Regions from separate parts of the Mus musculus genome. Here regions 1, 2, 4, 5 and 6 are each reported to be linked to region 3. The links are microRNA targets in miRTarBase. Many come from high-throughput screens and were not tested one by one. Region 3 holds a microRNA gene; each other region holds the end of a gene's coding sequence. Distances are between the middles of the regions.
What was found. Region 3 holds the annotated microRNA mmu-miR-466f-3p (CAUACACACACACAUACACAC, at 3,288-3,308, opposite strand). A microRNA usually pairs through its seed, bases 2 to 8, with sites in the 3' UTR of a target mRNA and lowers its output. Matches are read on the target gene's strand: a 7mer-m8 pairs with bases 2 to 8, a 7mer-A1 pairs with bases 2 to 7 and ends in A, and an 8mer does both.

Region 1: miRTarBase lists Plekhg3 as a target of mmu-miR-466f-3p. The part of its 3' UTR that is shown has no 7-base or 8-base seed match.
Region 2: the mRNA of Ldb3 is a reported target of mmu-miR-466f-3p. Seed matches in the 3' UTR shown: 7mer-m8 at 612-618, 7mer-m8 at 1,896-1,902 and 7mer-m8 at 1,910-1,916.
Region 4: the mRNA of Pard6b is a reported target of mmu-miR-466f-3p. Seed matches in the 3' UTR shown: 7mer-m8 at 1,243-1,249.
Region 5: miRTarBase lists Btnl9 as a target of mmu-miR-466f-3p. Seed matches in the 3' UTR shown: 8mer at 4,514-4,521, 8mer at 4,445-4,452 and 7mer-A1 at 4,428-4,434.
Region 6: the mRNA of Unc5c is a reported target of mmu-miR-466f-3p. The part of its 3' UTR that is shown has no 7-base or 8-base seed match.

The regions. Positions count from the first base shown.
Region 1 is chr12:76,577,969-76,583,044 of GRCm38, reverse strand. It overlaps Plekhg3 (pleckstrin homology domain containing, family G (with RhoGef domain) member 3), which reads right to left. Exons shown (of 19, transcript NM_153804.4): 19 at 4,006-5,076. The coding sequence ends at 4,637. It overlaps Sptb (spectrin beta, erythrocytic), which reads left to right. Exons shown (of 36, transcript NM_013675.3): 36 at 1-2,557. Among named protein-coding and RNA genes, the nearest start is that of AI463170, 33 kb to the right of the region's middle.
Region 2 is chr14:34,524,834-34,529,909 of GRCm38, reverse strand. Ldb3 (LIM domain binding 3) reads left to right here. Exons shown (of 15, transcript NM_001039074.2): 15 at 361-3,211. The coding sequence ends at 450. Among named protein-coding and RNA genes, the nearest start is that of 9230112D13Rik, 4.6 kb to the right of the region's middle.
Region 3 is chr2:10,466,967-10,472,036 of GRCm38, reverse strand. Mir466f-2 (microRNA 466f-2) reads right to left here and starts at 3,362; the gene lies at 3,269-3,362. The region is part of intron 10 of Sfmbt2 (Scm-like with four mbt domains 2); the gene reads right to left. Mir466f-1 (microRNA 466f-1) reads right to left here; the gene lies at 5,000-5,070. It overlaps Mir669f (microRNA 669f), which reads right to left and starts at 4,808; the gene lies at 4,688-4,808. It also overlaps Mir669e, Mir669b, Mir669d, Mir669l, Mir669d-2 and Mir466f-3.
Region 4 is chr2:168,098,520-168,103,595 of GRCm38, forward strand. Pard6b (par-6 family cell polarity regulator beta) reads left to right here. Exons shown (of 3, transcript NM_021409.2): 3 at 1-2,684. The coding sequence ends at 691. Among named protein-coding and RNA genes, the nearest start is that of Pard6b, 20 kb to the left of the region's middle.
Region 5 is chr11:49,164,380-49,169,455 of GRCm38, forward strand. Btnl9 (butyrophilin-like 9) reads right to left here. Exons shown (of 10, transcript NM_172793.2): 10 at 3,946-5,076. The coding sequence ends at 4,675. Among named protein-coding and RNA genes, the nearest start is that of Olfr1394, 6.9 kb to the left of the region's middle.
Region 6 is chr3:141,827,537-141,832,612 of GRCm38, reverse strand. It overlaps Unc5c (unc-5 netrin receptor C), which reads right to left. Exons shown (of 16, transcript NM_009472.4): 15 at 4,934-5,076; 16 at 1-4,206. The coding sequence ends at 4,041. Among named protein-coding and RNA genes, the nearest start is that of Gm15689, 150 kb to the right of the region's middle.

The DNA of each region.
Region 1 (5,076 bases), not on the chromosome of region 3:
ACTGCAATAGCTGCCTTGCCTGCCTGGCCTCCCTAATGCCTGCCAACAGCCCTCCACTTCCCCTACCCCAAGCAGCTGGCTGGGCTCCAGGGACTGGAGGTCCAGCTCCTTTGGGGCTGGAAACGGTTCTGTACGGCATATACTCTCCTCTTCCTGCCTACAAGCTGGGATGTCTGATGGCCTTCCTCCAGCACTGCCCACTACCACCACAGCAAATCCCCTTTGGGATCACTGACCATAGTCAGCTAGGGAAAGGAAAAGTAATATTGACAATGGTTGCCCTGTTCCTTAGGGGCAGGAGGAAGGGCCTTCAGAATCAGGTAAGGGGCTAGTGGAGTACCAAGGGGACTATATGGATGTCAAGCTTTGAGTACTGCCATTCTCCTCCCCGTGGGCTCCTTCAGAGATAGGATTCTCTCCTCAGGGCTAGTATGTCCCTTCTTTTCTCTTCTCATACCCTTAAGAGTTTGGGTGAGTCCCCAGTGAGTGAGCCTCTTTCTCCCTTTGATCCTCCTGGCATCAACAGAATTCCTCACACTGCTCTCTTGGAAACCCTAGTATAGCTTAGGGTTCAGACCTCTGCCACAGGAGGGACAGACAGGTCCCAACACTGCTTAAGGCTCTGCCTATATTGCGGCTCTTTCTCCCATTCCCAGCTGCAGCCAAACCAGCAGTACGTGGTCAGGGCTGGTGCCAGATACAAGCTGAATACCCATGCCCTGCAGTCAAGTATCTCAAAGCTACATGTCCCCCTCCCCCTCCGCCAGCCCTGCAGCTGGCACCAACCAGGCCAGTGGCTGGACACAGAGCTGTTTATTACCTAAGGGTGACAAATGCAGGCTTGTGACACAATAACCCCTGGAACACAGGGATGAATGTTGAGGCTATTAGAAAGGTGTGGCTCCTCTTGGTTGGTTTCTGCAGACCTAGTCTTAGATTTTGGGGTCACATGGTATAGAGATCACCAAACAACCACTACCCCTCTTCAAGCATTAAAAGGGGCTCTGCAGCCTGTCCCTGGGGAGTGCTTTTCCATGCCTATGGGAGACTAGGACCACGGGTCCTACAGGCATGCTCTGCTTCACAACTAAAAGCAACACAGCTCCAGCCCAACATGACAGCTGGAGTTAGGTCCAAAAGATGGTCGAGGTGAGGGCAAGGGGCCTTTTCGCCTAGATCATCTGTGTCCCTAGGGCCCACAGCCAGATTCTACTGCCTTCCCCATGGGTAAGGCTCAATGGTAGGCATACGGTTACTAGGCCTTCCCAGAATTCCTCATTGTTGACCAGGCAGGTATAGCTCAGAGATCAGTTGCACCCTGTAGCCCCCAACATGATCTGAGTATGAACTCAACTCCAGTAGACTACGACCACCTTAGCCAGTGGGGCCTGATTTCTTCATCTCCACAGCCAGTCTGTAACTTGGTTTCAGCGTATAGGACCCTATAACTCTCTCCTACAGGGAACATAGAGGGCACCATTCACCAGCCTCTTTGTACAGCTGGAGAAACCAAAGCAGTAGGCAGGGAGGCATCTGCACCCTGACAATAAAAATGGCCTTGGTACACTGAAAGGCACGTCTATCTTCTGGGAGAGGAAGTGGGCTCCTCGATGAAGCATTAGGTGGCAAGCAGCGCCCTCAGGCAGCTCCCCTGGCTTAGTCTGGGGGGCCAAGGGATGAGGGTCTACATTTCCCTTCCACGTGTACTCAAGTAGCGCCTGAAGTGAGAATTTCCCGGTAACTCCACAGAGCCAGGAAAGAAAAGGCTCCAATGGAAGAGCTAGGATTTCACCGCAAAGGATATACAAGGGCAGTAAGCTGCATTGGACCTCCCATCACAGCCAGCTCCCCACACTTGCACTCATGTCACCCAGGCCCCAAGGCACTCGACACACTGGACTGACTTTGTGGGAACCCTGTGAACTCCAGGGATGGGCTCTCATGGTGCCCTGGCAAGGCTGACTTTTCTCCTGGTATTTTCTACTTTGCAGTCTTCCCCGACAGTATTCTCAAACTGGGTTAACACTGCTCCAGTCCACACCAGCATCACAGGCTTCCTCCCCAGGGCGGTTGGAGGAAGCTCTCTGGGCACAGCCAGGCAGCTCTCCTTCCCTCCCGTTGCCTTTGTCCTGGGCCTGGGCAGACAGGCTGAGGAGGAGCAGAGGGTCCTGGGACCCTCCCACCCCACCTCTCCTGGTACTAACAGAAGTCTGTGTAGGCTCGGCTCCCTCCCCTCCTCCACATTCTCCTTCCTGACTACTGGAGGGCAACAGGTCCCCTAGGCGGGTCCTGGATCTCCTTCCTCTGTCACCAAGAGGAGGCAGATTCAGAGGAGGAAGAGAACAGCAGGCCACGTGGCTTGGTCTCTTGGACAAGCTCAGGGAGGACACAGAAAGTGAAGTGAAGGTAGAGAGATGGAACCCTGTTGGGCACAGATCATGCCATCTGGGGCTGGTCCTGGGGCTGGCTGGGCCTTGTCCTCCACCTGCTCAAATGTGCTTCCACCAACCAGAAGAACCCCATTTACTAGTTTTTCTAATAAATCAATAATACTCTGTGTTTGTCTCTGTTTATTTGACCAGCCTCTTGTTCCTTTGAACTGGACATCAGAGGGAAGATACCATGGAAACAGAGAGACAGCTAGGGTTTTACTTTGTTCCTCAGAGTATTATGGGATGACTGCTGGTATCCAGGCACTAGATCCCATCTGGGACCCTGAGGAAGCTTGTTCGTTTCATGAGTTCAATCAACTCGAGGCCAAAGTTGTCTCTAAGCAATCTACTGTTCAGGCTGTTAACTACCAGGAGCAGGGACCTGATCTCCTATCTGTCCTGGGATCCATTTTCAGAGGGGCAGTTTTATTTGGCCTGGGTGAGACATGGGACTGCCAGGTTTCAGAGGGTCTTCAGGTAATTCTAATAGGAGCCTGTGAATGCAACTGTCCCTGTCCAAGGTTCCTAGACACACCTACACTTGGACTGTAAGGATCACCCAAAAGACATTAGCCACAACTGCCCAGGCTCCACCCCTGGATGCTGTCATTGAGTTTGAGAAACAGTGATTCATCCAGCCTTCAATCTGTAGATGAGGAAAGTACATAGTTGGGTGACCCAGCTGGTAGCAAGGCTGGGACAAGACTTAGAGTCACCCATCCAATGCTTTTATGGCCGTTATCAGGTGTCATATCCTGGGACTGGCCTGCTCAAAAACAGTAGCTGTCTTCTCAGTGACTGACAGTGGTTGCAGAGGACCGAGAGGGCATGGGCTACTGCAGGCCTGCTCTGTTCCTGCCCAGGAGACCACCACTCACCCGATATCAGGGTGGGGTGGGGGTTGATGGTCATCCTATGTTCAGATCCAATCCAATCCATCCTCTTAGATTGAAAGATGCCCAGGTTTTACTCCCTGCAGACTTGCAGGTACACTAGAAGGACTGGTCTGTCACCAAGGCCCTCTTTTCTGACCCTAGACAGAAACCAAAGTAAAGCTGGTCTTCTGTGCAGAAAAAAAGCCCATTTAGAAATGGGGCATTCCTGGCCTTTTGCAACCAGACACTTCTGTGGGTGCTGTTGAGAACAGGAACCATTCCAATAAAATACACTTACACTCCACAACGCTGCAGACCACTTTAGGACATTGCTAAGCCTCAACCTTAGGACCCTCACCCACTCCTGGGGACCTGAGAGGGAGAGATGAGTAAAAGTCACTGGACCCTAGAAAACCCCGTTTATCTGAAGGGTTCTGCTCGCCCTGTCGGTTCCAGCTTTTCCCAACTTTGTCTTTGGGAAAAGAGCTCAAGGCTCCCATGTGGGAATCTCACCCGAGACAGAACATGACGCTTTGGGTGGACAAAGCAATGCACAGAGGCAAACATGGGAGGAATCAAGATCCCACCTCACACTCTGTACCCCACCTGACCCGTGAGCACCCTTGTTATCTTGTCTGCTGTGCCCGGACATTTGAGTGAGCATCCATGTCCCCAGGAAGGAGGCCACACACAGGTTGGTTGGTCAGCAGTGGTTATTATACCATAGGTAAAGAATGAAATGTGTGTCCATTGGCAACCACCACAGGGCCAGCAAGACAACCTTCGAGAGTACCTGAACTAAGTCCATTACATTCTTTACAAGACACACACACACACACACACACACACACACACACACACACACACACCCACACACACACCACAGGATATAAAGCAATAAATTATTGGCCTCATTCCTGCCTGGGTCCTATGACAAGGCAGTTAAAGGGCAAAGCCTGCCCGGGCTGCTTCCTAGGTCTCTCCCTTGGGTTCTCAGCCAGGCAGTGGCCAGCCAGTAAGGAAAGCCAGGGCAGTGCTCGCCCTCCCTGGGCAGGATAAAACAGTTGGCTTCTTATCAGAGAAGTATTTACAGAGAAGGTAAGTAGCTCATCTGGACCTAAGGAAAGTCAGTCATCCTGGGACCTCCCAGGGGAGGGGAGGGGAGGGGCCAGCACAGGTAACAGGTGAGTTCACACTCCACTCCAAACCACTCTTCCAGAAGAGTGGAGGATCAGCCTTAATGAGCCAGGCCTAGGGGGGTGTGGGTGTGGGGGGAGCATGCCAGGTCCTTCCAACCTCCACGTGGCTGTTCTCTCCTTTAGGAGTCAATCAACCCACAGAGTTCAAGGCCTGGAACTTCTCCCTCAGGTTTCTCACTCTACCCTGTTTGTTTGTGTCTGCTGAGTCCCTGGGACCGTGTTCTTTGGGCTGGTACTCTGCAGACGCCTGGAAACCTTGGCCCTGTCCCTTCAAAGCCACTGGGGAACTTGATTCCTTCCCACTGTCTTCCTCCAGCCCCACGGTGGAGCTAGGATGGGGCCCCTTCTCCATAATGATCACTCGCTGGTTGTTCTCCAGGGTAAGGTCTGCGGTGACATACAGGGCGTCGCCTCCATTCAGCTGGCTTTGGGGAGGAGACTCAGGAAGTGGAGGCTGGGAGGCTTCCCCATCTCCCAGGCGCCTGTGGGTGTTCAGGCCACAGCAGCGGTCCGCCTTGCCAGACATGGGAGGTTCTACGATGTTCTCGGGCAGGGAGCGACTCCTGTTGA
Region 2 (5,076 bases), not on the chromosome of region 3:
TTCAGTCCATGCTTTTTAAAAGTCTTTTATTTTGATAATTATTTATGTGTTTATAGACAGAATCTTGGTAGCTCAGATGCCCTTCTCCTAACACCTCACCAGCATAGGATTAGAGGCATACCCAGCAAACCTAGTTTACGTGGCTCTGGGAATCAAAGCCAGGACTTTATGCATGATGGCCATGCAACTGGCTACATCCTCAACCCCCTGGACATCTTCATGTTCATGTTATATGGTTCAACCTACACAGTTGGTCCAGTCATTAGACTTTGTAGCAGAGGGGATAAAAAACCAGGCTGCTTCTCCTGTTTAGGTGCCACAGTGCATCTGACTAAAAGGTGACTCTGTCTTCCCTCCCAGGTCTGCCACGTGAATCTGGAGGGTCAGCCATTCTACTCTAAGAAAGACAAACCACTGTGCAAGAAGCACGCACATGCCATCAACGTGTAGGAGCCCAGAGTGGCTGGTGTGCCAAGCCCAGGCTGCTCCTGCTACTGATGACGAAGGAGTCAAAGAAGCTGATGTTGTTTCTTCTGGGAGGGAAGGGGAACGAGAGAAAATGGTTGAGCCCTTTTGAAGTCTAACTTTAGTCTTTTCTTGTATACACAGATTGTGTATTATTGTAGTTCAGACTAGAAGCCAAAAGAAGATTCTAAACCCAGCTAGTAATTAATCCACGGCTGGAATTGGACTTCAGGTTTTGGGGAAATGACTCCAAGAAATCAACAGTGAAAAACAAACAAAAAAACAATGTTAAAAAATCAAAGACTCCCTAGCCATGTCTGTTGCCAGTGTGGGGACAGAGCCCTGGGCAGTTATGGAGGATCTAAAGTGTGCAGCGGAGCTCTGGAGCGATCCTTGGCAAGCACAACGATGTGCCAAGCAGTGTTTGCTGTGCGGATATTTTTAGAGCCGGCACTGAGAGCTCCTTAGCTAAGACCCATTGGGCTTTCCTCACCAAAAAAGGAAGAGTTGTTCCATTAGCATCACAGAGTTACCTCTGCACATCAGACTTCAGATGTTGAACAAACTTGAAACATATAAGGGGAGCCCAGGCGTCTGAGGCAATGGCGGGCCACCACTGGGCAAGTGAAAAGGCTCCGGGGAGGTCTTTCGCTCACGCCACGGACAGGGGAGAAAAGATGAGCTTTCTCTGCATCTCCCCCTCTTTCCCTCTGAAATATCTAAAGTCCCTGGAAGGCTTTGCTCCTTTATGAATTGTTAAGGGAAAGTGAAATTGGGTTTCTCCAGTTTTGCTTTACAATGTATGAGAAGAGGTTTGAAAAGGACTCTGGGTGGGGTTTTAGCCTTTGTTTTGCTTTAAGAGGGTTCTGAGAGGGAGTGTTCTGTGCACGTATTTCACCCCCTACCCGCAACAGCTCACGAACATCTTCCTCAGCCCCACCCTCAAATAGGCTCAGTGGGAAAAAGAGAGACAGCATCAAACAGGATGCTAGAACGGGCTCCCGGGAGCACCTGCGCACATGCTCATGGAGAGAGGATGCTCTGCTAACCTCAGGAAGAATGCATGGGCTGCAGGACCTCCCATCTCCAGAGCTGCACCATCCCCTTAACCTGTTCCTTTAAGTGCAGCACAGGAAGTATATACTCATGCTGACTGCTGCAAGGAGGAAAAGCTGCATTTGCCATTTGGGCCAATATTTGAAAATAGTTGACTGGCTTTAGAATATTTATTGAAATAGACCTGGCCTTCAGACTCTATAACAATACAGGTGACTCTTTTACATATACATGGAATTAGGTGAGCTTGGTAAAGCTATTTAGAAGTAAAGAAAGTGGCTTCCCTTTTGGGTTTCGAGATGGTGCAATCACCTTCCTTTCTAGGAAGTGCTGTTAGGAAGGATGTTCATTGAAAATGGTATTGAAGCAGGTTGTGTGTATGTGTGTGTGTGTATGTGTGTGTTTCTCACTGGAGCACAGTATGTAGGCACTGTACCAACCACTGCCCTTCTCTCCTCCAACCTGTTTTGGATTTTCCACTTTGCACGGTTGAAATGTTTTATAGGTATGCATTCACACTTTTCTTCTTTTGAGAACTAAGACTTCCAAGAGAGCATCCTCCTACTTACCGGTCTCTCCTCCCTGGAAGACTCTGAATTAGTTAGACATTGTGTAGTAGGAAGTCCATAGTTAGTTTGGAATCACCAATTCCGCCCAGGCAGCACCAGGGAAGGTCAGAACTATGCTCCTCCAAACAGCTCTTCTTTACTTTTTATGCAAAGCTCCTGGCTGAGTGCATTCTGCTGGGACAGCTCAGAGGTTTGTCCAGACATGCAGAACAGTACCTTGTGTAGTCTGTTATTTTTGGAAATTTCAGATATTCAGGGACAAGGAGCTTGCTGACTAAACAGAAGGCTTCTAAGCAGTTGATTTTTTTTTTAATCTATTAAATGATTGGGAACTGATCTTGAGGAAGGGAAATAAAAACCCCTGCCATTACATTTCCAAAATGTCTTTTTAAAGGTTTTATACATGATCCCAGACACTGCTCCTGTGTAATCATTATCCTTTGTTGTAGGATCCTTAAGAAGATAATCAAAATATCCTAAAGGAAAGCATCACCATTCTCCTATGTTAAGTAATTTAAAACAAATATTTAATAGCTTACATGTATTTTTAAGTGACTCTTATTTTTTAAATACAAAACAACATTTAGAGGCTGGGTGTAATTCAGTGGTACAGAATTGTCCTAGAATTTAGGATTCTCTAGCTTTGGTCCCCAGCACTGCCAAAAACCAATATAAAGGTAGCAGAGAAGAAGCCAGTTTCAAGAATGGTCCACAGGGTGAGCATGCATAGTGTTAAGATTAAGGCTGAATGTCGATAGGTTACCATCACATCTTTACTAGTGCATAGGAGGAATACAGTGTGTCTTGTTTTCTTATTCTTGGCATTAATCTAATATACTGATAAACACTCACCTTCTGAGTAGAATGGCTTGTATTGGCAGTGTTTGTGTTAGCAATCTAGCCTTTGTAATGTGAACTTTCAACCCTAGCATTCTTGCTTTGGGGTCTTCTTCCTTTCTTTTTGGTAAGTTTTCTGAAGTTGGAATATAGTGTGTTAGAGGTGTGTGTAAAACTATTTTGCATGGTTTTCTTTTCCTTTATTTTCCTTTTCTTTCTTTTTGGTCCGTGTGGATTCTTTTTAGCAAAATAAAATTCAGAAAAAAAAAAGATATACAAATGGCGATGTTTATTCTGTGTAAAGTTCTTTCATGTGTCATTAAAAAATAGTTGACATCTAGAGGCCCATAAATAAAAGTATGAGACAAATTGTCCTGTGAATAAGGGACACTGCTCACTCAGTCTGTGGCACATCAGCAACTTAATTGTTTTATGTAAACAAAGTTGTATGAATAACACATGTTTTATATGCAAAAATAATTAATAAGCTGAAGAATAGGCTTTGCCTTGTAGATTTGGAAAGGTGCTTTTAGTTAGGTGGTTCAATATTTAATATTTAGTCTCACGATACAACCTCTGCCTCTTCAGTTCTGGTATACAGCAGATCATGGACTACAGACCCAGCACATGATCAGATTCTTTTTTAATTGTTATTTCACTTTATAACTTGTAGTGTGTGTGTGTGTGTGTGGGGGGTGTAAGACCACATGTGCCATGGTGTGTGTGTAGTGTCAGAGGACAAGTTTCAGGAGTCTCTTTCCACCATGTGGGTTCCGAGTACAGATTCAGGTCATCGTGTTTAGAAGCAAGTGTCACTACCCACTGAGCCATCTTGATAGCCTAGATTTATTTGTTTATTTATAAATTTATCTATTTAAAATTTTTCTATTTATTTTTATTTTATGTGCCTGAGCACTTTGCTTGCATGTGTGTATGTCCATCATTTGCCTGCCTGGTACCTTTGCAGGTCAAAAGAGAATGTACGACCCTGGACCTGGAGTTACTGATGTGGTTATAAGCCGCCATTTGGGTGCTGGAAATTGAACCACCCTGTCCTCTTCAAGAGCAATACATGGACTTCACCACTGAGCCATCTCTCCAGCCCCAACTTTAAGATTTATCTTTTATTACTTTTTATCTATGAACATATGCATGTGTCTGGGTATGGATGGGCGTGTGAGCATGGGTTCCAGTAGAGTCTAGAAGAAGGATTGGATTTCTCTGGAGCTGGAGGTATAACGGGTCATGAACCACCTGACTTGGGTGCTGGGAACAAACTCGGGTCCCCTATAACAGCAGTACCTGCTCTTAGCCACCAAGCCATCTCTCCAACCCCACAGATTAATTTTTATTTTGTTCAGCTTCAAATATAGAAAAGTTGCTATATTCCTTTCATTTATTTTTCCCTTTTTTTTTTTCAAATAAGTTCAGAGGAAAATCTCCTAGTGGCATTAAGAAAAAAATAATACCTCGCATGGACAAAGCACTAGGTTCCATTCCTAGCACTGCATAAACCAGCCCAGGACTCAGGAGGCAGGAGTTCAAGGTCATCCAGGACTCACATAGTGAGACCTTGTCCCAAAACAAACACAAACAAACAATATCATTAGTGGTGATATAAATTTGAAGTGATGCAATTCTTTAAATTGACAATGAAAAAAAATCCCATAAAATCATAGAATCTAAATTTGGAGGTATCTAAGAGATCTTCTAGGGACCCTCTAAGTGTGAGGCTAAAGGTCTGGAGAGGGAAGGGGCCAGTTATGAAGTTAGCCAGACGCCATGGAATAAATACTAACTTTGGCATTGATGAAACCTGGGTCTCGATCAAGGCTATTTTATACACTTTGAGTGGTGTTAGAAAAAAAAAAAACTCTTTTCAACAGTTTATCTATTTGAAAAAAGGCAATAACACTTGCACCAAAGATATTTTGGAAACAAACTGTAGAACTTCTAGAAGAAATTACAATTCAAATTATCACCAAAATGCAGCGACTGTCATTATTACCAGTAGCAAAGCCATCCACTCTGATCTATGGCTTCACTCCTCTTATTTTCCATGTGCCCTCCCCCAAAAATCTTCTGGAAGAACTAGCAGTGAAAACAAACGACATAACAATTAAAAATATCAACCACATAAGACAGATTT
Region 3 (5,070 bases):
GTTGCGTGCGTGTGTATGTGTGTGTGTATGTATACATATATTCATATACACACATGCACATGCACACACACGTAAACACACATGCACATACATGAGGGGCATAACATGAATGTCTGGATGATCACTAACTGAAATTGAGCATGAATATGAACTCCTGATCCTCCTGACTCTGTCAACAACTTTCACCTGGTGAGTGAGACCGTTCATTGACACACTACTGCATAATCTATAAGACTCTAAGTCACATATCATTCAAATGGATCAATGAGTGCCATTCCTGTGTTTATGTTTATGTTTTTGTGTTTCCGTGCATGCGTGTGTATATGGGTGTGTATGTATATGTATATTCATATAGACACATATACATGCACACACAAGTATACACACATGCACATATATAGGGGGCATCACATGAATCCAGGATGATCTCTTACTCCTCATGAAGTTAAGCATGATTTTCAACTCCTATACCTCCTGACTCTAACAAGGGTTTTCACCAGGTGTGTGAGAATTGACACTGGCCCTGTCATACATAATCTCCAAAGGTCTAAGTCACATATCATTAAAATGCATCGATGAGTACCATTCCTACATGTATGTTTGCATGTGTGTGTATATGTGTGTATGTATATGTATATTCACATAAACACATGTACATGCATACACTTCTGCACACATGCACATAAACGGGGGACATCACATGAATCCCAGACTGATTGCTACCTCATCATGAATTTAATATGAATTTGAACTCCTCATCCTCCTGACTCTGGCAAGAGTACTTAACCTCCTAACTGAGACATAGCTCTTGATCAGTACTGCATAAGCTCTAAAGTTCTAAGTCACATACCATTCAAAAGGATATATGAGTGCCATTCCTGTGTGTGCTTGCGTGTATGTGCATATTCATATAGAGAAGTGAATATGCACACAGCTATACACACATGCACATTCTTGTTGGGCATCACATGAATCGCATGATGAACTCTAACTCATCATGAAGTTAAACATGAATTTGAACTCCAGATCCTCCAGACTCTGGCAAGCGTTTCACCTCCTAACTGAGACATAGCTCTGGATCACTACCGCATAAGCGCTAAAGCTCTATGGCACATATCATTTCAAAGGATATATGAGTGGCATTACTGTGTGTGCATGTGTGTATATGCATATTCATATAGAGAAGTGAATATGCACACAACTCTAACACATGCACATTCTTGGTGTGCATCACATCAATTGCATACTGATCTCTAAATCGTTGTGAAATTAAGCATGAATTTGAACTCCTGATCCTCCTGACTCTGGCAAGTGTTTCACCTAGTGAGTGAGACTTCTCCTTGACCCATTTATACATAGCTCTAAAACATTAAGTTACATATCATTCAAATGGATAGATGAGTATCAATTTTGAGTTTGTGTGTGTGTGTGTGTATTTGTGTGTGTCTCTGTGTGTGTGCATGTTGTGTTGGTTAGTTTATATGTGTATATTTATATGCATATATTAACATGCACACATACATATATGCACACATGCACATACATAAGAAACATCCCAGTCTGATTTCTATCTCTTCATGAAGTAAATTTTGTATTTGAACTCTCTCTTCACCTGACTCTGGCAAGTGTTTTTACCTTATGAGTGAGACTATTACTGACCCAGTACTACATAATATTTAAAGCTCTAAATTATATATCATACAAATGGATCAATGAGTGCCATTCATGTGTGTGTGTGTCCATGCATGCATGTATGTTTGTGTGTATGTATATGTATATTCATATACACATATACACATGAACACACTTATGTATACACATATGCACATTCAAGGGGAGACATCACATGAATCCAGGCTGATCCCAAATTCTTCATGAAGTTAAACATGAATTTGAACTCCAGATACTGATGACTCTGGCAAGGGTTTTTACCTGGTGAATCAAAACTTTCAGTGGCCAAGTACTACATAATCTCTAAAGCTCTAAGTCACAAATAATTCCAATGGATCGATGAGTGCCATTCATATGTGGGTGTCACATGTATGTGTATGTATGAGTTTATGTATATGTATATTAATATACACACATACATCACGGGATCATCACAAAAATCTCAGGCTCCTCTCTAACTCATCGTGAAGTTAAGGATAAAATTGAACTCTTTTATTATTAGGTATTTTCTTCATTTACATTTCCAGTGTTATCCCAAAAGTCCCCCATACCCTTCCCCCCCCAACTCCCCTACCCACCCACTCCCACTTCTTGGACCTGGCGTTCCCCTGTACTGAGGCATATAAAGTTTGCACGACCAATGGGCCTCTCTTTCCACTGATGGCCGACTAGGCCATCTTCTGATACATATGCAGCTAGAGATACAAGCTCCGGGGCGTACTGGTTAGTTCATATTGTTGTTCCACCTATAGGGTTGCAGATCCCCTCAGCTCCTTGGGTACTTTCTCTAGCTCCTCCAATGTGGGCTCTGTGATCCATCCAATAGCTGACTGTGAGCATCCACTTCTGCGTTTGCCAGGCCCTGGGCCTACTGACTCTGGTAAACATTATCACCTGCTGACTGAGACCCCTCTCAGGCCAAGTACTGCATAACCTCCAAAACTTGAGGTGACATATCATTCAAATGAATCACTGAGTGCCATTCATGTCTGTGTGTCTTTGTGTGCCTGTATATGATTGTATGTATGGATATGTATATTCATATACAAACAGGCAAATGCACACAAAACTATACACCCATGCACATACACGGGGTACATCCCAGGAATACCAGGCTGATCTCTAACTCATTATGAAGTTAAGCATGAATTTGAACTCCAGATCTTTCTGACTATACCAATCGTTTATATCTGGTGAGTAAAAAGTTTCATTGGCCCAGTACTACATAATTTCTAAAGCTCTAAATCACATATCAATAAAATAAATCGATGAATACCATTCCTGCGTGTGTGTTGATGTGTTCATATGAATGCGTGTATATATGGGTGTGTATGTATATGTATATTCATATACACACATATACATGCACACACAACTATACGCACATGCACAAACATGGGGGGCAAAACATGATTCACAGTTTGATCTCTAAATCCTCATGAATGTAAGCATGAATTTGAACTCCTGATTCTCCTGATTCTGGCAAGCATTTTCAACTAGAAAGTGAGAGCACTCACTGGCCCAGTACTACATAATCTCTATAGTTCTACGTCACATATCATTCAAATGGATAAATGAGTGCCATTCGTGTGTGTGTGTGTGTGTGTGTTACATGAGTGTGTATGTGTGTGTGTATGTATACATATATTCATATACACACATGCACATGCACACACACGTAAACACACATTCACATACATGGGTGGCATCACATGAATGCCAGGATGATCTCTAACTGAAGTTAATCATGAATTTGAACTCCTGATCCTCCTGACTCTGTCAACCATTTTCACCTGGTGAGTGAGACCGTTCATTGACACACTACTGCATAATCTATAAGACTCTAAGTCACATATCATTCAAATGGATCGATGAGTGCCATTCCTGTGTATATGTATTTGTGTGTGTGCATGCATGCGTGTGTATATGGGTGTGTATGTATATGTATATTCATATACACACATATACATGCACACACAAGTATACACACATATAGAGCAAGCAACACACAAATCCCGGGCTGATCTCTAACTCATCATGAAATTAAGCATAAATTTTTACTGCTGTTCTTCCTTACTCTGCAAGCATTTTCACCTGGTGAGAGAGAGAGAGCTCTTTTGGGCAAAGGAATACTCAATCTCTAACCTCTAGGTTGCATATCATTCACATGGATTGGTAAGTGGCAATTGTGGGTGTGTTTGTGTGTGTGTGCATGTTTGTGTGGGTATGTATGTATATGTATATTCATATATACATACATTTTCATGCACACATAAATATACACACATGCACATACATAGGGGTCATCACATTAACACAAGGCTGATCTCTAACTCATCATGAAGTTATTATGAATTTGAACTCCTGATTCTCCTGACTGTGAGAAATGTTTTTGCCTGGTGAGTGAGATGTCTCACTGGCCCAGTAAATTTACATATTATACAAATGGATCGATGAAAGCCATTTCTGTGTCTGTATCTGCGCATGCGTGTATATGTTTGTGTGTATGTATATGTACATTAATAGACACACATGCACATGCACACAAAACTATATACACATGCACATACATTCATGGGGGACATCCCATGAATTCTAGGCTGATGTCTAACTCATCATGAAATTAAGCATGAATTTCATCTCCTAATCCTCCTGAGTATGGCAAACATTGTTACCTGGTGAGTGAGATCTCTCCCTGGCACTGTCCTGCCTAAACTCTCAAGCTCTAAGACACATATCATTCAAATGGATGTGTGTGTGTGTGCATGAGTGTGTAAGTGTGTGTATATTCATATTCATATACACAAATGAACATGCACACACAAGACACACACCTGCCCATATATAGGGTACAGCCCATGAATCCCAGGCTGATCTTTAACTCATTATGAAGTTAAGCATGATTTTGAACTCTGGATACTGATGCTCTGGCAAGCCTTCCCTGGTGAATGAAAAGTTTCAGTGGCCCAATACTACATAATCTCTAAAGCTCTAAGTCACATATCATTCAAATGGATCAACGAGTGCCATTCCTCTGTGTGTGTTTGTGCTTGCGTTTATACGTGTGTGTGTATGTATATGTATATTCATATACACACATGCACATGCACACACAACTATACACACAGGCACATACATGGGGGGCATCACATGAATCACAGACTAATCTCTAAATTCTCAGGAAGTTGAGCATGAATTTGAATTCCTGATTCTCCTGATTCTGGCAAGCATTTTCACCTTCTGAGTGAGACCATTCACTGGCCCAGTACTGTATAATCTCTAAAACTATAAGTCACATATCATTAAAAGTGATCAGTGAGTGTCATTCATATGTGTGTGTTGCATGTGTGTGTATGTGTGTGTGTATGTGTATGTATATTCATATACACACATGCACAT
Region 4 (5,076 bases), 160 Mb from region 3:
GTCATCCATCATCGACGTGGACATCCTCCCAGAGACGCACCGGAGGGTCCGTCTGTACAAGTACGGCACAGAGAAGCCGCTGGGCTTCTACATCCGGGATGGCTCCAGCGTCCGAGTGACACCGCACGGCTTGGAGAAAGTCCCCGGCATCTTCATATCTCGGCTCGTCCCTGGGGGTCTGGCCCAGAGCACGGGCCTGCTAGCTGTCAACGATGAGGTGTTAGAAGTCAACGGTATAGAAGTGTCCGGGAAGAGCCTGGACCAGGTGACTGACATGATGATAGCCAACAGCCGCAACCTCATCATCACCGTGCGCCCGGCCAACCAGAGGAACAACGTGGTGCGCAACAGTCGGACTTCTGGCAGCTCCAGCCAGTCCACTGACAACAGCCTCCTGGGCTTCCCACAGCAGGTGGAGGCCAGCTTCGAGCCCGAGGACCAGGACAGCGACGAGGACGACATCATCATTGAAGACAGTGGCGAGCCGCAGCAGATCCCGAAGGCCACCCCCGCCCAGAGCCTGGAGTCCCTGACGCAGATCGAGCTCAGCTTTGAGTCCGGACAGAACGGGTTCTCCCCTCCTCAGGACACGAGCCTGGTGCCTGTGCCCGGCAGCCTGGACACAGAGCTGGAAAGCCGGGCTCCGGACCAGAAACTCTTAGAGGAAGATGGGACAATCATAACATTGTGAACCACCAGGTTGTTTTCTGTTTGAGGGTGTAAGGAACAATGTTGGTGTGCACACATGACTGACACTGTGGACCTGCAGGCCCTGATGTTCCACAACAAGTGTGGCCGGGCTGGGCTGGGAGTCTGCCGAGGCAGGCTGCCGTGACACGGAGCAGGTGCTGCTGCTCTGAAACTGAGACCTGCCTGAGCCGAGCTGCGGTGGCCGGTGTCCACCTGCCTGCAGAGCCCGCTCCTTGCCCTCTGTGAAGTCTGATCATCTGCTAGCCACTGGGGACCTCGGTTCTTCGATTCCCAGACCCTGTTTTCTGACTTTTAAAGTGTTCCTCTGTTAACTGTGACAAATTATTTTTTCATGTGCAGTTTTTGTTCTGTCTTCCCATTTTCTAAAACTTTAGCTGGCCATGTCTAGGGGCCTTTCCCCTGGCCCTGGAGCGACACCTGTTGTCGTCACCCTGGAACTTTACAGTTTCGGGGTGCCATAGTCCTTCATTCCAGTCCAGTGGAGATTATTTCAGTGTGTGCTGTGCACGTGTGCGCATGTGTGTGTGTGTGTGTGTATGTGTGGTGTATGTGTGTGTGTGTGTGTGTGTTTGTGGGTAGGTGATAGCATAGTTAGTTGACTCCCACACTCTTCAGTGTACCAGACAGTGTGGATCATGGGATAAAAATGCCCCCAGGTTAAGAGACTTACACACGATATAGATGTGCACTTTTTATTCAAAAGACGGAGTTTTCTTCCTGGGGATTCTAGGGTGCTGCCCACATTTGGGGAAACCCGTGTCAAGTACACCACTCGCAGGGCTGGTGATTATTTGAGTCTATTTATTCTCTTCTGTGCGTCCATTTGGGATGAGGGGACCGCAGTTGTCTTCCCTTACCTGGCTCCCTCCTGTTGCATGCACAGTCAGCGAGACCCACGTGTGTGGCTCAGACTTCCCTGAGGCCCAAGGCTCTGAGGGGGACAGTTATTTATTTCTTAACCTTGTGGTGGCCGAGTGTGGGTGCCTCATAGGTGTGTACTGACTCCGAGTTGAAGGACTTTTTCCTCGTAGTAAGAGCCGGCAGAAATGAAGTCTTGATCCAATGAAGGGCACTGACTGAGCGAGTTATCTGCAGGCGCCTGGCGGAGGCTGGGTGCAGTGAGCCTGTGACTGTTGAATTCACTGAGTTTCTCCTCTCACACGGCACCCACCGCTTGCTAGCAGTGCTCCCCCTCGCTCCCCCTCTGACACTGCGCTCCCTGCAGTGGAAGGCAGCCATAGGCACAGAAGGCTCAGTTGCATATGTAACTTAGGGGTGCATGGGCTCAGCATTGTAAGTAAAGATATTTCACATACTACCTCTCTCTTCTCTCTTTCTCTCTCTTTTTTTAACAGAGTTTTAACATAGAACCTTTCTCTTGGGGGAAGAAATACTTCAGGGCTTGACTTTTGTACAAATTTTAACTGAAAAACAGATTTCTCTTCTGTCTGAAAACGGAGATCAGAGCTGCTGACGCTGATTTTAATTTCAAGGACAATAGTGTTTGTTAGTGATGAGGTCGTACCAATGAAGTCAATGTCAGTAGACCTTCTGTGAGGCCAGTGAGTCTTGGCTGTGGAGGTCCCGTCCCGTCCCGTCCCGTCCCGTCGGCTCAGTTCTTGAGACACCTCGGAACAGGAGCGTAAGCGTCGGCAGCTTAGCGTGCAGTTCTGTTGTCCCGAACGTCGAGCCTCACTGTGAATTCTGTTCTGTCCTAAGTCCGCCATGTCAACCAGATGCTGTGCTGTTGTGAACCATGAATTTTCTAATTAAATTTTACATGCTATAACATACATGCTATAACATGATTTTTACATGAATGATACTTTGTTTAAACTATTAAATGTCAGTATTTTACTACAATTTTATTATAAAATGTACATTATCACTAAATGAACTTTGATTTTAAGAATCAAGTTAGCTTTAGTTACATATTATTTTTTACAAATAAAAACGGACTTGTATAAAGGCTACTTTCTTGTTTGAAATTACATGAAGAGAGGATGTAAGGATGTTTGCCAAGCATCCTTAGTTACTGCATAGGGAGTGAAACTGAGTCACCACTGATTCCTTGACCCTTTTCCAGGGCTATGCTGAGCCCCAGGCCTCGGTCCCCACATCCCCCACCTGTCCAGGCTGAACCCCAGCTCGGGGCACTCGGTCTCTCGGAGCTGGAATGACAGACGCAGGCCATGTGGCCATTCCCTAGTTGTTTTGTTTTGGTTTTTAGTTTTAGGTCAGGTGCAGTGGCATGCCTTTGATGTCCAGAACTTGAGAGGCAGAGGCAGTCAGATCTCTGTGAGTCCCAGGCCAGCCTAGGCTACACACTGAGAACATATGTTAAGATAAGGTATTTTGTGTGTGCACACAGAAGTATATTTGTGTACATGTAGGTGTTGGGACAACTTGTAGAACCTGGTTCTCCCACTGGGTCAGGGAGGGTCTCCTCATGTAGCCTAGGTTAGCCTGAGACTCTGCCCCTGCCTGCAGTGTACTGGTTTTTCCCAGGCCTGTGCCCAGATGTCAAAGAGTGATTGCTTTTCTCTTTGGGATTTTTGTTATTTGACTTCAGTTTGTGTGTGTGTGGGGGTGGGGGGGTGTTTGTTTTTGTTTTGTTTTGTTTTTTATCTGAGGGCAGTTATTTTAAAAAGTCATCTGTAGCCTCAGGCTAACCTTGAACTCATGAAGCCAGCTTTTCCTGCCTCCCCTCCCGGGTATTGGCAGTACAGGCACGTGCCAACAGCCTTGCCTCATGTTTGTGTTCTGGTTTTGAAACTTGATAGGTGACCAGGCTGGCCTTGAACTCACCTGCCTCTGCTTCCTGAGTGCTGGGATTAAAGTCACGTGCCACCACACACCGACTCTTGGGTGGTTTTTTTTTTTTTTTGAGAGCTCACTATGTAGCTCAGGTTAACCTCGAACTTGGCATTGTTCTGATTTGGGGTCAGGTCCTGGGTGTATGTATCCTTTATTTTGTGGGTCCAGGTGGGCGGGCCGCAGCAAGTGCCTAGAGGTCAAAGGACAGCTCTCAAGAATTAAGTTTCCTCCATCCACCAGGGTTCTGGGAATCCAGTCTAAACAGCAGGCGCTTTTAGCACCACGCCATCTTGCTAGAGGCTGGTATGAAGATGCCAGCTTCCGTGGATACCTTTCTACCCTTGGTGATTATTTCCCCTGGCCCGGAACTGAATCAGACCCTGTGTGAGCACAGTGATGGTCACAGGCCTGCACCAGGAGGCTCTCGGTGGATTGGACCAGTAAGATTTCCTGGCCTGTGGAACTGAATAACTGAGTCTTGCTGAGAAACGGGCAGAGAGACCCTGTCTCAAAAAAAGGGAAAAAAAATGTAGACAGTTCACCCAAGAGAGGACTTCCGCCACCATGTTACTGATTTAAAACAATAATGGTTGCCAGACGACCGGGTAGCACAGCTACTGGGGAGTCTGAGGCAGGAGGAGTCAAGGTCAGTCTAGACAACTTCTGTTCCATGACGGAAGTACACAGAGCTGGGGTGTCAGTGGTGGGAAGCTAGCCTAATATGCATGAGCTTATAGGTTTGGCCCTCAGAACCAAAACGTAAAGAGGGCCCTGAGGGCTCATTCAGTAAGGAGCTTGTCACACAAGCAGGAGGACTTGAGTTAGAGCCAGGTGCTGTACAGCCCTGGCTGGGACTGGCTGACCCGTAACTTTAATGGGATCAGTTCCTGATTCAGTAGGGGACCTTGTCTCAGAAAAATAAGATGGAGGGCCAGCAAGATGGTTTGGTGAGTAGAGGGGCTTGCTGCCAATTCTTAACAATATGGATTCAGTCCCCAGAACCCACATAATGGAGAGAACCAACTCCTTCCGAGTTGTCCTCTAACCACAAACACAAGTGCTTTTCTTGGTTGGTTGGTTTTGGTTTTTCAAGACAGGGTTTTCCTGTGGCACCTTGGCTAACCTGGAACTTGTTCTGTGCTGGAACGAAAGGTGTGCACCACCACACCCAGCATGAATTCCTAACAATAAATAAGGTGCGGAGCAATGGAGAAGATATTCAATGTTAACCTCAAACCTCTACATATAAGTTTGCATTATGTACATGCACGCTGTCGCACACAAACATGGATGCCACAGACAGGCACACAATCATTAGTGACTGTTGACGACAACCTAGGCAGGGCCCCTCCCTGCTTCCTCCTTTGTACCCACTTAGCTTTTCTCTCAGGCAGGTTTCCTCCTTGCGGAGAAGGTGGCCGACAGAGACCCATCCCATTCTGTTACTTGGCGTCTCTGACCCACCCTGTGCCTGAACCAAGCACGCCCAGTGACGTCACTGCCCTGGCCTGAGACACAGGCTAACCTTGGGGAGGTGTCCTGGCCTCT
Region 5 (5,076 bases), not on the chromosome of region 3:
AGGCTTTATTTAGCCTTATAAAAGAATCATAAGAGATTATTGGGGAAGCATTCTTTACTGCACATTAGTCAATACAATGCCCATCTCTAGATTACAACCTGATCTCAGCACCTGAATACATAGCACACAAGACCAACCTCAACACGTACCAGCATACCCAGCTGATCTGTTTTAATAGGTCCATTTAGTTCGTGCACTGATTGAATGGGAGGTTATGGAATTCGGATGTTGGTAGAAAGGAACATGACCAGCAGTGAACAGGTTCTGCATACATTTTGAAGTTTAAATAATAAGAATTTTCTACCTTATTGTTAGAGGAGAGAGTCAGGATAGAGTGCCATTAGCTTAGGTTTATGATGGAATGAAGGGCTATGTGTTTTATTTGTTTGTTTCTTAATGTGATGCTAAACATCAAACCCAGAGCCTCCTACATGCTGAACAAGTGTTCTGTCACTGAGCTACACTTCCAACCAAGGGGGAAAAGCCTTTGTTAATTGGACGGTAATTACTCACACAGCCGAACCTACACAGTAAGCTGTAGACATCTCGACACCAAGGTGAGTAAACCTATGGAATACAGCCAACTTCAGCAGTACATTGATTCCTTCCTCTAACTCACCCAGAGACTGAGAAGGCACCTGGCCCCTTCTTACAAAACAGCTGATGCCACACAATCCTAAGTCCCAATTAATAAGTAATTTGTAACCCCCTCATTGTGGTTTACAACTATAAATATAAACCTGTAAACACATTCTCAAGATTGTGCCAATCATCATCTTTCCAGATTTTGATCCTAATGCTAGCATCTTGTTAGAAATTAAGGAGCCTGAAGAGGAGGCAGAGTCTCTCTCATGATCAGCTTGGGACTCCACCTCCCAAGTGTGTCTGTGGTAACACTAATTTCAAGGAAGGGAGATGTATGACAGTTGCTAGTCTTCATTTGAAATCCCCATGGGAGAGAGAGGCAAGAGGAGGTAGTAGGGCTTTGCTGAGGTCTGTTAAGGGAAACCAGCCTATTTTATATTTAATTTTAAAAACTCTAGGCTCCTTGAGAGACCCTGTCTCAAAACATAAAGGTAAGAGAATGATAGAGGGAGGTACCCAAAGCCTTCACATGTACATGCGCACGTGCACGCACACACACACACACACACATGGGCCTCCAAAACAGTCGCACCATAAAAATTTATGGCATCATAACATTGGATAGTATGAATACGTTTATTTTGTATAGTAACAAACAGGTGGCTTCTAACCTCTAGGCTGCATAGTAAGAGCCTGGCTCACTAACACCAACAAGGCACCTTTCCCCTCCCTACAGAACGAATCTAATCATACCTCTGACCATTTAATACTACAAAGAGGCACTTAGAATATTAACAGTCACCAAACATTTCCCCTCCAGAGACTAGCATTGAACTTTTGGGTCTGTTCTCTTTTGGTTTGTTAGGTTTTTTTTCCCAACACACTCTTTGTATGCTTATATTTTTCAAAACCTACTTTAATAAGTGTACTTAAATGCTTTAACCTCCCTTCTAGCCTACCACCCACCAGAGGTAGTGGGAAAGAAGGTTAATAGGGCAAAGGAGGGTGTGGACCTGTTTAGAAATTGTTCTTTGGAGGGAATCCGATCTGTGTTGTCAGAATAACAGCAGTTCAGTTCACACAAATCAGCAGCAGTATCTCGATCCACTTGCAAACACCATTCACGAATCAGCAGTGGCAGGTTGATCCAGGAGAAACCTCAAGGCTCTGTCAATCTGCTGGAGTCTGCAGAAGTGCCAAGAAGCTGCAAGAACACCACCAGAAGTTCTTTGGTGTGTTTCTCTCTGTGAAGTCATGACAAAGACCAGCAAGGAGTAGCAAGGCGAACCAATACCACACAGTGTTGTTCACTGTTGGGATGTATTTATACCTTCTCCAAACATCACATGTTCTCTCAAGCATCTGCTCTAGCAAAACATCATATACCCCTTTCCAGGCAGCTTCCAGAAAATCATCACATATCTGTTCTCAGCAAAACATCTTCTACGTGTCTGCTTCAGCAAAAACATCCTCTGATAAGACAGTTTCCAGAAAAGCATTACATGACACAACTGAGTCTCCGAAGAAACCAGACATTTCCACTTCAGCTCTTTGAATCTGACACACTTGAAGCCTACCTCAAGGTATGTCAAGTCCCTGCAGATGAGTTAACCAGAGACGCTATCAATCACCACCTTTGCTTTCTGGGGTTTGGGGGAGCACCTGAGAGTAAAATAGTCATTGTGTTTACCTCAAGCATCTCTAAAGCTCTCAACACTTATTTTTGAAGAACAATATTTCCCTGCATCACTATGGCACTAACTAAAAATCAACACTCACATAAGTATTTTCATATTTGGGGGCTCCCATTCATTTTTCTTTGACCTAATGTCTTATCTCATCCTTGAAAATGTAAATGTCATTACATGGCTCATCCTGCAAATTATCATTGCAATAGTACTATCCCCATTTCCCTTTTCCTTTATTTTTCTAAAGGAAGCTCAAGGACAATTTTATCAGAGTTTACAGCAAACTGGTACAAAGGAGATGAAAACTCTGGCATGCAAAAGGAAAAGATGAAGAAAACACCATGACTTTTACATTAGATATGGAGTAGAAATAGGTGGCGCACACCTTTAATCACAGCACTTTGGAGGCAGAGGCAGGAGGATTTCTGAGTTCAAGGTCATCCTGGTCTACAGAGTGAGTTCCAGGACAGCCAGGGCTACACATAGAAACCTTGTCTCAAAGGAGAGAGAGAGAGAGAGAGAGAGAGAGAGAGAGAGAGAGAGAGAGAGAGAGAGAGAGAGCGCCTTTTAAGAAAGGAAAAAGCTCTCCCAAGAATGTGAGGATGCTAGTAAGCTGAGGAAAGAGTCTGAAGTCCTTTCCCCTACTTAAAACAATTGTATTTGTTTTTGTTGTTTATTCTTCTCTCATATATAACATCCTGACTGTGATTCCTTCTCTCCTCTTCTCCCAGCCCCCACTTATCTCCCCTCTCCTCCAGATCCACTCCTCTTTTATTTCAGAAAAGAGCAGACCTCCCAAGGATATCAACCAAACATGGCAAAATAAGATGCCGTGAGACTAGGCACATCTCTTCATATCAAGGCTGGGCAAGGCAACCCAGTAGGAGGAAAAGGGCCCCAAAAGCAGGAAAAAGAACCAGCAGCAGCCACTGCACCTATTGTTAGGAGCATCACAAGAACACCAAGCTACTCAACTGTAAAATATAGGCAGAGGACCTCGGTCAGATCCATGTAGTCTTCCTGATCCTCCCTTCAGTCTCTGTGAACCCCTATGAGCCCAGCTTATTTGATTCTGTGGGCTTTGTTCATACAGTGTCCTTGTCCTTGACCCTTCTGGCTTCTATAAACCTTCCTCCTCCCTTTCAGGAGATTTACTGTGCTTCTCCTAAAGTTTAGCTGTGGGTCTCTGTGTCTGCTCCTATCAATTGCTGGATGAAGCCTCTCTGATAATGATGATGCTAGGCTCCAGTCTACAGGTATCATTAGGAATCATTTCATACACTTTTTTCTCAGTTGTGTTTATATTTCCACTATTTTAAGAAATATGTAAGATTGCTACATAAGATTGGTGCCATCTTGCTTTTCAATAGACTGCCTGGTGGGCTTATCAGCCATCAGTTTTTTGTTTGCTTGCTTGTTTTTTGTTTTTTGGTCTATACTGATTATTTCCTTGATGCAAAGCTAATAGCTTTTCCATTCCACCCTCCCCATTCTCTTTTAGAAAGGTTTCACTTAATTATTTCTAAGACTTCCTTTGCAAACAGAGGAAAAATAAAGTGTTAGCATGGGCTTATACATTTGGGTTTTAGTTATTGCCTAATACTACATTATCTTAATTTTTAATTTTAAGAGATTGTAACAAAATTCCATAATTTCTCCTTTCCTTTTCCTTCCCTCAAATTCTCCTATGCCTCACTTCTAGCTCTCTTTCAAAATCATGGCTTTTAAAATTAATGATATTAGATGAGTATATGTATATACTTATATTTTGCTAAATATAGCCTTTTCTGTTTGTAAATGTTACTTATATGTATGTTTATGTTTTAGGAGTATCGCTGCATTCCTGCCATCCTTATCCTGCTCCACCTGAGCGGGGGATCCAATGCACTTTTCTGGGGAAATCGGCAGTGAAGTTGAAGATGTGTGCTATCCCTCGGGCTAGGCAAGCACTCTACCACTGCTTACCCCCAGCCAGCCACATCACTGCCATTATTGAATTTCATGTTCGAATTGCCACATACATGATCAAGGAAGTCGCTATAAACTGTATTCTGAGCCAAAGGTGAACTCATTGCTTATGAAATGACATTACTTCTAGACTTTTGCAGGATCCACAAAATTACACACACACACACACACACACACACACACACATATACACTATACAGAACTATACACACATTAGCGGATAATTATGATTCTTTCCCATCTTCTACACTGCACACTCCAGAATCCTGCTATATACACAAACAATCTTTCATTTGTCTGTTTAAAGATAATTATATACATTCATCTGTATAGGCCCTCTCTCTCTGTCCTCTTTCTGCTGACTCTGCTTTGGCTGCAGGAGAGCAAAGCGCTGTCCAGGAGTTCAGGACAGTGCTTGGACCTGGCCTTGAGGTCAGGACACTGCCTCATTAACAGCCCAGGCGGGGTCCAGAGGCTCATAGGGCTGTAGCCAGTTGTCGTTGTCGTTCTCTTCGAGGACCTGTGGCCCTCTAACCGGCAAAGAGCAGATGGTCATAGGATCCGGATGTTCACTGCCGTCGTGAGCTCGGGGCCTTAAGTAGGCGCGGAGCGCCCCTGAGAAAGTGTCGGTGAAGCTGAAGATGTGCGAGCCATCAGACACGTTGAAGAAAGACAGCTTCCCGGCCTCGTAGTCCAACAGGACGCCTATCCTCCGGGGAGGCACGCGTAGCGCCAGTGCCACGCGATGCGGGTCCAGCACGAAGTACTCGCAGCGGTTCCACAGCCCCATCACCCAGTAGCCAGCCGCCGGGCTCAGGCGCGCGGGCCCGGAGCG
Region 6 (5,076 bases), not on the chromosome of region 3:
TTTCTTACTTTTTCTCTCATATTATCTAACATCCTTCTACATTGATTAGCTCCAGAGCGCAGACTGTAGGGATGTGTATGGATTGTGGGATAGAACATTCTCCCTATAAGCTCTCTTTGTCCTATGGCTATGTAGGTGTGTGTGAATGACCCAGGATCATAGGTGCCAGGTCCTCATCAGAGACACACAGAGATGTAGGCAACCATCTACTCTCTTCCAGATGTGAACTGTCTAAATCCTACCCTCTGAGTGTTTCCCTTTCAATCATTTTTAGGAGAAATGTCCTTAAAACCTAGTTTTAATACCTATTTCCTAGAGGATCCTAAATATAGTCATTGCAACTTTCCCCTAAAGGATGTCTCTACTCTTTGATAGTGGAATAATTAAAATCTTTAGAATCATAGAATATATGAAAATAGCTAATGATATACTTTGATCTTGGACCTCTTATTCCCCAAATTATCCTTTCCCAGAAGAGATTAATTTGCTCAGGTCAGGATGGAATTCTTTGTGTAGCAGAGACAATGTGTCTGCTTTGAAAATGTTTGGCTGTGACTTTCTTGACACATGCTTAGACTCAAGCCAATTTGAATTAATGTCAATAAGAAGAGAACATGAAGTTTTAGATTCCTAATCTCAGGTCTACTTCATCTGAAGATCATTCGTCTTGATTAACAGCCACAACTTCCATGTCCATAGAGACAGGATTCTCATTTACAAATGTAGAGCAGGTTTGAACAGGTATAGTGGTACATAGTTAAACTCTCACCACTTGAGAGGCTGTGGAAATAGGGTCATGGATTTGATGATGTTCTGGGATACCTAGCAAGAATATATATGCCCAAGGTGATGCCATGTGTGTGGAGCTGTTGGGCAGGGAATCTTTCTTCTTTGTGAATACAGTTTATATTTCTAAAAGTCAGTGTTTGGGAGTTAAAAGATTTCAAATATGCAAAGCCCAATGACAATTTTCAGAGACTTTTAAAAATACAGATTCCATACATGTCTATCACAAGAAAGTAACTTAAGATGTGTATGAGTAAGTTGATGACGTGCTATACCCAGAAAGTTGTAAAATGGATAATTTAACTGAAGAATACGAGAATAAGAGAATTACACATGTAGGTAAATTTCACCATGTCTATTTGTCACAAATGTCGAACTCCACAGGTACTTAACTCTCTTTGTTAATTTTTTGTAAGCTGTATATGACATTGAGTAACTATGTGGCAGGCCACTAGATGGCACCAGGCACAAATAATTTGTTTTTCTACCCACCCACAGCAAGCAAGGCATTCCTGAGAAGCTCTGTAGAAGTCAGACATGCCACAGGGGTGATGATGAAGCTCCCTCTAAGATGAACTGTGGCAGGTGAAACGTGTGTGTTGGAAAGCAGCAATCTAACAACTATCATTTTCTTCCCAAGGAGAAAGAGCAGACTGCTTAGTGAAAATTATTTGATGTATGGTATGTTCTAGTTTGGAAACTGTCATTCACATGATAGAAAGTGGTTTTATGACATATGATTCCTTCATAAGAGATCAGTCATTTTTCCTTTTCCTGTTGTGAGAGTCTGAATACAAAAGCAAGTATCTCTAGATGCTTGAACACGAGGACTCTCAAAATATTCAATAATGTTGCTTTGGTTATATTCAGTATTTCTGTGTTGGTGACTTAACAGTTTTTAGGATAAATTAACCAGAATAGCAACATATTTGTTCCTCTTGACTTAGCACAAAGCATTGAAGTTACACAGAACATCCAGTCCAGACCTCTCAGTTTGGATTTCTTTGATGGTTCCAAAATCCAAGAAGTGTAGAGGAACCTTCACACTTGTTTCAAGAGGCAGCAAAGTCTTTCTTCCTCTTACTTTTTAAGAACATCAATCAAACTCTTAAAAGTTCGAACAAACTCATGCTTACAGATATCAGCCAACAAACTTCGTTAGGAGTATAGAATTTCCCTTCCACAGTCAGTGGGACCAGGATTTTTATATATGAATATGGTTAGAGAAAGAGACTGTAGAATACATCTCTGAAAGAGAAGACAAACAGCATGAAGGAAGAGGCTCCACAACTGTACCCACAGTTCTTTAATGACTAGGATAGAAGAGTTAGCGTGTATCAGGAAGTAACAGAATCAGAGGGTATTAGGCAAAATGATTCCCAATGGAATCCATTCAGCAACCTGAATACTTCTAGCCCCAAAGTACACCACAGCCATATTTTGAAGTTTCTGACTTAAGGGCATAGGTGCTTTCTATTTAACTATGTCAGTGGGGCTGCTAAGTTTTCATTCACTATCTGCTGAATGGAGTTCCTATATCAAAAAATAAAAACAAACTAACAAACAAACAAAACCCAGGATGGTCCCAAGGAGTATGCACAACTAACGTTTTATAGGATGGTCCTATAGCACTAATCTACATAAATACAACTGAATATTACTAAAGCAAAGAGTAATAAAGAAAGAAAAATGTTACCAATTCATTCAGCTGCATGGGCTTTTTGTAGAAATGGTCTTGAGATCTGGAGATCAATAAATGAGTAAAGTAGAATTTACAGTTAGTTGGAAGGCTGGACATTAGGGCCCCAGCAGAGGTCAAGACAATGGTAAGAAAAGGATGCCATCTCTAAGCGAACAACATCATGCAATAATGACACAAAGATAAAGACAAACAAATGTGTGTTGAAGTAATCCCTGTTCAAATCAATCCTGCCTGCAAGATAGAAAAGGATGATGACATTTGAATGGGAGATCAGCATTCTGGAACCTTGAGATGATCTGGTCTCACCACAAAGTTTACAAAGAAGGGCAATGAGCGCCAGTGAGTTTCAATGTTTTCCCCAAAGTCACACAGCCATACAGGGACCAACTCCACAAGGATAACTGGTTTCCTGATTCCTAGTTCAGACACTGTTCCCACAACCATACTGCCTCCCAGATAGCCACAAGAGTAAATGAACTTTACATAGAGAACTCTCCTCATGATAAGAGCAAGAACAGAAAGACTCTGACCGAGCAAGCTGAAAGAGCAGACATAGCCATTGAGCATTTCTGTCTTTTCCACCACAGAATGGTAGACCAAAGGTCAAGGAAGCAAAAGCTATTGAACTAAACTGGTGACCATGCCCACCTCTTTAGGCAAGAAAGGGAGGCAGGTCTAGTCAACACCAAACACTAACAGTATTGCTAACTAAAACAAAAGGAAATTCTTTTTACTAGAATATTTGTAATAATCATCAATAATAATGATAATATTTTTTAAAAAACACTTGAAATTGCTTATTACAAACACACATGTGGTACAGAAATGTTTGTGTGGAGGAACATGAATAGCTACCTCCCCTGTAATGCTAGAGCTCTGTTCCCAAAGGATACCAACGGGGTTACCCCAGGATATAAGGAATTTTCTCAATTTCTCCTTTACATTTAGATTCTCCACTTCCCTGATACCAATGCCAATACTGGTCCAACAAGTTTCAGAAACAGAACACTGATGGGAAGATTATCTGAGACACTTGATGTACATGATTTTTAGCAAAAGTCTGTGATTTCTCTGTAAATTACTAATCTGAAATAGACACAATAAACTGTCCACAGCTTCAACTTCAAATGATCTGAACAAAAATAGAACGAGCCATGGACAGTGTCTGCATCCCTGTCCAATTTGATGTAAACAACATTTGTAGAAACTGGGTTTGTTAAGAAAGTTTATCCATACATCTGGATAGCAATAAAAAGCGTTTCCTAGGAAACTGTAAGATCCTGTACCATACAGCATACAGCCCAACGAAGAGAAAATTAGATTGATTCTTAAATTCAAGGTACAAATTTACACAATTTTTCTTAACTCCCGCGGTGGTGCTGTCCGAATGAAGTGGGCGTGTACCTTGGTGGTTATATCTGTCCCCCAAGTTTCCTGTTGCCATCTTGCCTGTAGAGCGCCTTGGTCCTATCTGGATTTCCTCCTCAGATGTGGTTCCCCTGAACACAGACTCCCTGTGTAATTGTGTCCTTCAGCTTTAGTTCCAGTGTGGTCAATACTGTCCTTCTGCTGCCAAGGACACCACTGTCTCATGTCTTCCCATTTCTTCCAGGACGGCTGCCAGCATGCTCAGGTTTCCATCTGGGAAGTTCTGTGCTTCCCAAAGATCCAGGATTACGCCAGTTGGGCTCGATTTGGTGGCAAAGTAATTCAAGTACCTGCAATCAAGAATGGGAAAATATGCTTAGAGGTGTGATTTACAGGTCTATTTACAGTATTATCTTCTCTGCGTTGGCACTAAACCTGTCTGTCTTGAAGCATTTCAGTCCTACCGTGGATCCTAGTGAACTCCACTTAATGATTGCTCGGTTCCTAATTAGATCAGCTCCAGACAGGACATGTGCTGTTTAACTTTGTTAACCTCAACTCTGAATAGGATAATTTAAGAGACAACGTGTCTGTGGGTTTTGTCCTAAACAGGAAATCAAGAGGCTTATGTTTTCTGTCCAGTCTGGACTCTGATGATCTTTGACAGGTCATACCACATCTCTTCCTTGGAGGTGACAGATATTTTCTACGAAGCAGAGGCTCTCAGGGTCTCTTTATAACTTAATACAAGTGCTTGTGTGAGCATGTAAATTATTCATCATGCATTACGTCTTGTTCAACTGGCGATGGATGAACAATAATTACTTTAGTGAATAGACATCATATTTAGGAGCTCTTAGCACATGAGCTAGGTAAAGTCTATCACAAATCTTGACACTGATAAATGTCATATATCCCAGGAATTCTCTTGGAATTGTTTGGAAGCTCACAGTCAGAATGAAAATATAAACAGATGTGTAGTGGGAAGAGAAAAGTGCCACTTTCTATATCATTCCTTTCAGTCCTGGAATCTCTGCTAAATGAAAACAGTAGGTCTAGAAGCCTGGACACACTCACCTGTCCAGGTTGAGTTTATGGGCCAGCATCCTCCAGTCATGGCCTCTTGTTTGAGGGGCATCCAGGCTGCTGCATAGCTTCTGCCGGATAGGGAGAGGAATGCTGAAAGCACTTGGTCCGGTGACAGTGGTGATGGTACTAGC